2 linked regions of the Neurospora crassa OR74A genome follow. The protein of the gene in region 1 binds, or shares a complex with, the protein of each later gene. Links are inferred from orthologs where the notes say so. Each region holds a gene or a part of one and is shown in the gene's direction. Other genes may lie near its edges.

Evidence for each region.
Region 2: NCU01772 (region 1) and NCU08030 share a complex: the UniProt entries of both Saccharomyces cerevisiae proteins name them as parts of the RNA polymerase III (Pol III) complex. The link is inferred for Neurospora crassa OR74A from reciprocal best matches to the Saccharomyces cerevisiae genes RET1 and RPB8.

The regions. Positions count from the first base shown.
Region 1 is NC_026502.1:2,490,040-2,494,074, forward strand, and holds the start of NCU01772 (DNA-directed RNA polymerase III polypeptide), read left to right. Parts: upstream 1-1,235; 5' UTR 1,236-1,421; coding exon 1,422-4,035. UniProt on the Saccharomyces cerevisiae protein: DNA-dependent RNA polymerase catalyzes the transcription of DNA into RNA using the four ribonucleoside triphosphates as substrates. Second largest core component of RNA polymerase III which synthesizes small RNAs, such as 5S rRNA and tRNAs.
Region 2 is NC_026504.1:3,966,361-3,969,532, reverse strand, and holds NCU08030 (UDP-glucose 4-epimerase Gal10), read left to right. Parts: upstream 1-1,321; 5' UTR 1,322-1,482; coding exon 1,483-1,829; exon of another isoform or gene 1,830-1,919; coding exon 1,920-2,031; 3' UTR 2,032-2,332; downstream 2,333-3,172. Other genes in the region: NCU08031 (paxneb protein superfamily), read right to left, coding at 1-1,013; NCU08029 (thiamine pyrophosphokinase), read right to left, coding at 2,333-3,172. UniProt on the Saccharomyces cerevisiae protein: DNA-dependent RNA polymerases catalyze the transcription. of DNA into RNA using the four ribonucleoside triphosphates as substrates.

The DNA.
Region 1 (4,035 bases):
AGCCATAGTGACAAAAGGCACAAGACAGTGAGTGACAGGCAGACAGCCGTCAATGTTCAAGGCTGGACACTCTAACCCTCACTTCTGCCCTGTGGAAGATTCAGTACAAGAGAGAAGATCGATTTACATTCTGAGCACTCAAATGTACGATAGCCAGGTGATAGCTATGGTAGACGCTGAGATATGGAATGTCTTGAATGCTCATTGAGACCATGGTAGAGAAAGCGAACGCACAAGTGCAGCGCCCCCGTGTTTAACCTTGATGTGAAATCTCCTCGCCTTTTTTTTTCAATTGCTCCTCTTTCGGATCTTGCCCCACTGCTGGGTTGGGTTCCAGGTCGATTCAAGCAAGGTAGCACCCTGCTGGAGCTGGCCTAGGAAAAGATGGGTACCTACCTACACTATGCTGTAAGACACGGCCAACGGTGATGCGACTCTTTGACGTTTGTATAGTCAGCCAGAAGCATAACCCTTCTCTGATTCTTGAAGCCTGAGCAGGTCACAGCACTTGGGAATAACATCAACCTCCGTTGTATGCGATTAGCAATTCAAAGGCTGCCATATCAACGAACAAAGACCGAAGAAGACCATCAACATGATAACAGGTAGGAGAGAAATAGTGAACGACCCGGCAGGTGATTTCATAACCAGAAGCTCTCCCCTGTTGACTGGTGTGTCGATCGAAGGCCCGGCTTCCGCTTGGCGCGGCTAGATTCAGCAGAACGGATACATAGCTATCTTGAGGTTACCTAGCTGGCCTGACCCCGCTACAAATTGTTCAAATCGCTGTGCTAGTTGAAGTTGGATAGGTAAATACAACCTACCACCAGGAGGCAGATGTGTCGGAGTTGCACAGAGGCGGGGGTTCCTTATCACGAACATCAAAGTGACGGTCCGGAGTCAAAGCAAAAGGAAAGGTTTCAAAGGTACCCGACAGGTGGAGGGCACGGCCAAAAGTGGAACAAGGAACCTACATAGGTATATGTAACTGTCAATCAGGGGTCCAAAACGTGGGCGCTAACAATTTTGGCCTCGGCATACCAGTTAGGTACCACTGCAGTCACTAGCAGTCACCGGTCACCGCACCACAACACTACCTCTAGTGTAGTGCACTACACACACTAACAGTCAAGCACAGACCACTCCCGCCCCGTCGTCCCCCACCGCCCCAGCCGCGGCTTACCTCTACTGACCTAACAAGAAATGGCAGCGGCCAGCCCGTAGAAAAAGTTTATCGCAACTAATCCTTATCAATTTGCCGCGGGGCCAAAAATCACATCGAAATCTACCTACACAACTGCAAGGCGTATCTTCTCAACCAAACACACATTCCCGGTCGTTCCGCGCCCATCATCGCCATCCTCCATTCCTCCGGCCCGATCGATACGACGAACCGTCACCCGCAGTTAGCACATGCAAGGATGGCGGCTCTCGACGATGGCTTTGAGGCCCTGCTGGAGCCGTTCTACAATGGCAAGAAGCTGACCGATCCCATCTCGACCACGCAGGACAAGTTCCATCTTGTCCCGGCCTTCCTCAAGGTCAAGGGCCTCGTCAAGCAACACATCGACTCGTACAACTACTTCGTCAACGAGGAAATCAAGGACATCGTTAGGGCCAACCGCGTCGTCCGCAGCGACCAGGACCCCAACTTTTGGCTCGAGTTCAGAGACATCCGCGTCGGCATGCCCACCCGCACCGAAGATGGCGAACAAGTCCAGTCTCGAAACCCCGTCACCCCCATGGAGTGCCGTCTCCGCGACCTCACCTATGCCGCCCCCGTCGAGGTCGACATCGCCTACACCCGCGACAAGAACGTTATCGTCCGCAAGAACATCCCGCTATGCCGCATTCCCGTCATGCTCAAGAGCGCAAAGTGCTACCTCAACGGCGCCACCAATGCCCAGATGGAGGTCTTCAACGAGTGCCCTCTCGATCCTGGTGGCTACTTCGTTATTGGCGGAACCGAAAAGGTCATCTTGATTCAGGAACAGCTTAGCAAGAACCGTATCATTGTCGAGGCCGACGAGAAGACCGGCGGAGTCATGGCCTCGGTTACCAGTTCCACACACGAGAGAAAGTCAAAGACTTACGTCGTACTCAAGAAGGACCGGATTGTCCTGCAGCACAACACCCTCTCCGAGCCCATTCCCATCGTCATCGTTCTCAAGGCCTTCGGTGGTCTTTCCGACAACGACATCATCGAGCTGGTTTGCGGTGGCGATGCGCGCTACCAGGACGATTTCCTCATCAACTTCGATGAAGCCGGAAGAGCTGGTGTCTACACACAACAACAAGCGTTGGAATACGTTGGTGCTAGAGTCAAGATGGGCGGTAACAGACCCAAATTCGGTGCCGCTCCTCGAAGAAACCATGCTGAAGAAGGTCTCGACGCACTTGCGAACTTAGTTATCGCGCACGTTACTGTTGAGGGTCTCGACTTCTATCCCAAGGCCGTCTACATTGCCATGATGGTTCGCCGCGTGCTGATGGCAGCTCAGAATCCCAAGCTCGTCGATGACAGAGATTTCGTCGGCAACAAGAGATTGGAATTGGCTGGACAGTTGATCTCCCTTCTATTTGAAGACTTGTTCAAAAAGTTCATTTCAGACGTCAAGTACAACATTGACAACTTTTTCAAGAAACCCAACCGTACCTCTACGTATGATCCCCATGGTGCGATCATGGCTAACGGCCATTATATCTCTCACGGTCTTAACCGCGCCATTCAGAGCGGCAACTGGACGGTCAAGCGTTTCAACATGAACAGAGCCGGTATCACCCACGTGCTCAGCCGACTCAGTTATATCGCTGCGCTGGGTATGATGACGCGTATCAGCTCACAGTTCGAAAAAACAAGAAAGGTTTCCGGTCCAAGAGCCCTACAGCCCTCACAGTGGGGTATGCTCTGCACCTCTGATACACCTGAAGGTGAAGCCTGTGGTCTGGTAAAGAATTTGGCACTCATGACACACATTACCACGAATGTGCCGGAGGAACCAGTTAAGAAGATGATTTTTGCTGCTGATGAGAGCGTGGGACCGATCCGAGAATACACCGGAACAGAGATGCACAGCAAAGGCTCGTATATCATCCATTTGAACGGTACACCATTTGCTGTGACCAGGGAGCCAAAGCGGTTTGCCGCCAGGTTCAGAACTTTGCGTCGCCGGGGCTGGGTCTCTCCTTTTGTGAGCATCCACATCAACGAGCACTTCTCGGCGGTTCATATCGCTACCGATGAAGGACGTATTTGCCGCCCGTACATCATCGTCAAGAACGGCAAATCCATGTTGAAGGCAGAGCACCTGAAGATGCTTCAACTCGGGCAAGCGACATTCGACACTTTCCTGACCAGCGGCGTGGTTGAGTATCTCGATGTCAACGAAGAGAACGATACCCTTGTGGCGCTTCAGGAGGATCAGATCACCAACAGCACTACGCACATGGAAATTGAGCCGTTCACGATTCTCGGAGCAGTCGCTGGTCTAATTCCCTTTCCCCATCACAACCAGTCTCCCCGTAATACTTACCAGTGCGCCATGGGTAAACAAGCCATTGGTGCTATTGCCTACAATCAGTTCAACAGAATCGATACCCTTCTTTATACCCTTGTTTATCCCCAACGACCAATGGTCATTACGAAGACGATTCAACTTATCCACTACGACAAGCTCCCGGCAGGACAGAACGCCACCGTCGTTGTCATGTCTTACTCTGGCTACGATATCGAAGATGCGCTTGTTCTGAACAAGGCTTCTCTAGATCGTGGATTCGGCCGCTGCCAAGTGTTCCGCAAGTATACCGCCGAATTGCAAGGCTATACGAATGGGCGCCGCGACAGGGTTGGCGGTATCATGAAGGACGAAGACGACAAGCCCATTGTTAAGCACGCCATCCTCGACGCCGATGGCCTGGCCCAGGTGGGCTCAAAGGTTGAATCCGGACAAACGATGATCAAGAAGGAGACCCCGTTGGACCAGATCTCTACTGGAATCGCTGGCGATCGTGGGTCAGACGATTACCGTGACGCAT
Region 2 (3,172 bases), on another chromosome or scaffold:
CCACCCTTCTCATGATACACAGGCAGTGTGTATACTTTGAACATACCCTGGGGTTGCTCGTTTGCCTTGGGATCCGACCTTGAGGGCGGCGGTGGCGCGGCACCTAGCCTGGCAGGCAAGGGGATGAGCTCGACGACGCCGTCACAAAGAATTTCTATCCACCGGACCAGGCCTGAACTGCGAGGGAATAAGGACGTCGGGAAGGTAATGATTGCTGTGAGCTGGGTGCTGTACAGTCGAAGGAGAGCCCGGAGCCCATGTAGAAACTGTAGAACCTCTGATGGTTGGGCGCATCCAGGAGGATAGAGGGTTGGTGAGAGGAGACTGGGCACCACCAGTCTATGAATGGCGTTTGATCCTGAGCTCTCCAACTTGGCCCGCAATTGCTTGAGAAGCATCTTCAGAGGAGAAGCTGTCCCAACACTTTTCCGGTCTAAGCTCGGGGAACCGCCAACTGAAATCGGGTTCAGAGTACCCTTGGACTCGGAGCTGGCAAGCCTCTTGCTGAGATCAAAGGAGTGACAGAAAGGCGCTCCAGAATCCCCACGAGCAGAAGCTCCTGCATTGGCGTTGTTACCCAAGGACTCATATCTCCACGCAATCTTCATCTTCTCTTCGGGTGCCGGCGCCGGTGATGCACTCTTTGACTTCTTGTCAGGTGAAGCCAGCCCTGGAAGCTGATGCCTCCATTCTGGCGGAAAGGCTACTGCGTGAACCTGATGCCCTTGGACGAGACCCTCGGCAGCATAGTACCGTAGAAGAATTCCAGAGAAGTCGGTGGTCCCTTGCTCCTCAACCAGTAAGCATGTTCCTAAGGGGAGTCCACCGTGTCCTGCAAGAAGTTGGTCCAGGGAAGCAGTGCCAGTTGAAGTGGTCAACCTGCCATCAGTTGGTGATGGTCGAAGACCCGGCGCAAGCTGCGTTTCCTGTTTGGGTTGCTGCTGCTGGGGAGCGGACGGCGTGAGTCCGGCTCTCGGTGAGGATAGGACGGTGTTTCTTTTGACGAAGGACATAGTTCAGTCGGCAAGTTGCAGTCCTTATTTGAGTATCGAATCCAAACTTGATGATGTTGAGGTATGTATTCTTCAAGTCCAAATATAGTCGATTCGATCCCTGGAAGAAATTCCATGGAAGCTTGGACGTCACTGGAGTGCCTGAGAGCCCCGCTGTACTTTTGTCACACACTGGACGGGCGTGACAGGGATTTTCAATGGTGGTTGCCCCACTACTTGCCCCGGCATCCTGGTCCAATTGCCGCAAGGCTGGAATTTTTTGGGACGGCAACTGCATGGCGGCATCTCCATCGCTCAGTCGCATCTCCAAAAGTTTCCCCAAACACCATCATTACTACCGCTCGCGACAATTCGTTTTACCCACCTATCGACACGCGTTTGATACTCGACCAAAATCTGACACTAGTATCCTTCCGAGCAATCAATATCCAACATCGACTGTTTCATCGATTCCACACCAGCATTCACAATGTCCGCCCTCACGTCCGACGCCCAACTCTTCGAGGACGAGTTCAAGGTCGAGAGAATCAGCGATCCCAAGTACGACCGCGTCGACCGTCTGTACTGCACCTCCGTCGATGGCCAGACCAGCATGCAGCTCGATGTCAACAAGGAGCTCTTCCCTGTCAAGGTCGGCGAGTACCTTAGAATTGCATTGGCTACTTCCTTGTCCCTCGACGGTAGCAAGGACGACGAGAGGGGTTGGCGCGATGCTGCCAAGCTCGGTAGCGTTGAGCAGACCCTGGCCGACAGCTATGAGTATGTCTGCCATGGCAAGGTCTACAAGTTTGAGGATGGAAAGGATGGCCAGACCATGTAAGTTGTTGCCTGGGAATTGGGCAGGAGTATCTCGACCTTGGAATTCGGGGAAAATGAGTGGCTGACTGGTTCGGTTGCGAAATTTAGCAAGGCGTATATGTCCTACGGTGGTCTTCTGATGGCCCTCGATGGTCCCTACAAGAAGCTCACGCCCCTGCGTGTCGACTACGTCTACCTCCTCGCCAACAGGAACGCTTGAGAGCTGAAATTTCCGGAGAATAAAAAATTGAAAAAAAGCAAATGTTTCCAGCGGCTAAATAGCATCAGACCGATCAAGAGTCTAGGGCGCGAGCAACATTCATTGGATCTTTGGAGGGCGAACGGGCGTTTAAGGTTATGCGTGGACCAGAAAAGGCATATCCTAGGGAAAAGGGGTCTGGGGAAAGTAATGAATCAACGATACCCGGAAAGCAAGTACCTGTATTTATGCCGCTACCGAGCCAAGGGCTGTCCATCTGCCTTTGGAAGAGCTAGTGCCCTGCGGAAGGTGCTCGATGGATTCAGGCCTGATGAGGACCGGGAAAGGCGATGTGTCGATGAGCCCGGTCACGAAATGCGTCGTAATGCGGCTCGTTTTCAGGCGTGTAAATGCCGTGCCGAACGAAGAAATCGAGCATGACGACGGCACAGTTCGGCTTCCACATTCCCTGGGCGAGCTGTTTCTGGATCTCCTCCACTGTGCACAAGCTGAAGCTCTCGACCTCGCCGTCTTTTGGCTCGGGGACGACACTTCCATCCGCAGGTAGCTCTAGATCATAAATCCATTGGCATTCCGGGTAGATCAACCCCGCCTCGCCTCCCGCGCGCTCGTCCGTGATGTAGATATAAGTGATGGTGCAGACCTCTTTGGCGTTGTTCCTCACGATATGCTCGGACAGTGAAGCCTCTTCGTCCGCCTCACGGATGACGCATTCGAAGGGGTCTTCGTTGGTCATCAAGCCACCCGCTACCGCGTTGTCCAACATGCTCGGATAGGTCGATTTGGTCGCGGACCGCTTGGGAACCCAGATTCTCAAGTCATACTTGCTGCTGGCATCCTGACGTCTGATGAAGGCGTTCATATGCACGCCGTAGCGTGTGGTTCCAAAGAGGCCCATAGCTGCCCGCTCTATGCTGAACACGAGCTCCTTGTTGCGACCATAAACTGGCCACAGCTCGTTTCGCCAGCTCTTGAGGATGGCAAATGCCTCTTGTTCACGCCAAAGCGCAGTGAGCTTTCCGACAAGCCGAGTGCGTTCCTCGTAGGTTTTGTCCGGGGCATCACGGAAGAGCACTACAGTCCTATTAGAGACATCGATGTGCAACCCTAACTGTCCTTTGAGAGTTGCCGGGGCTTTGTT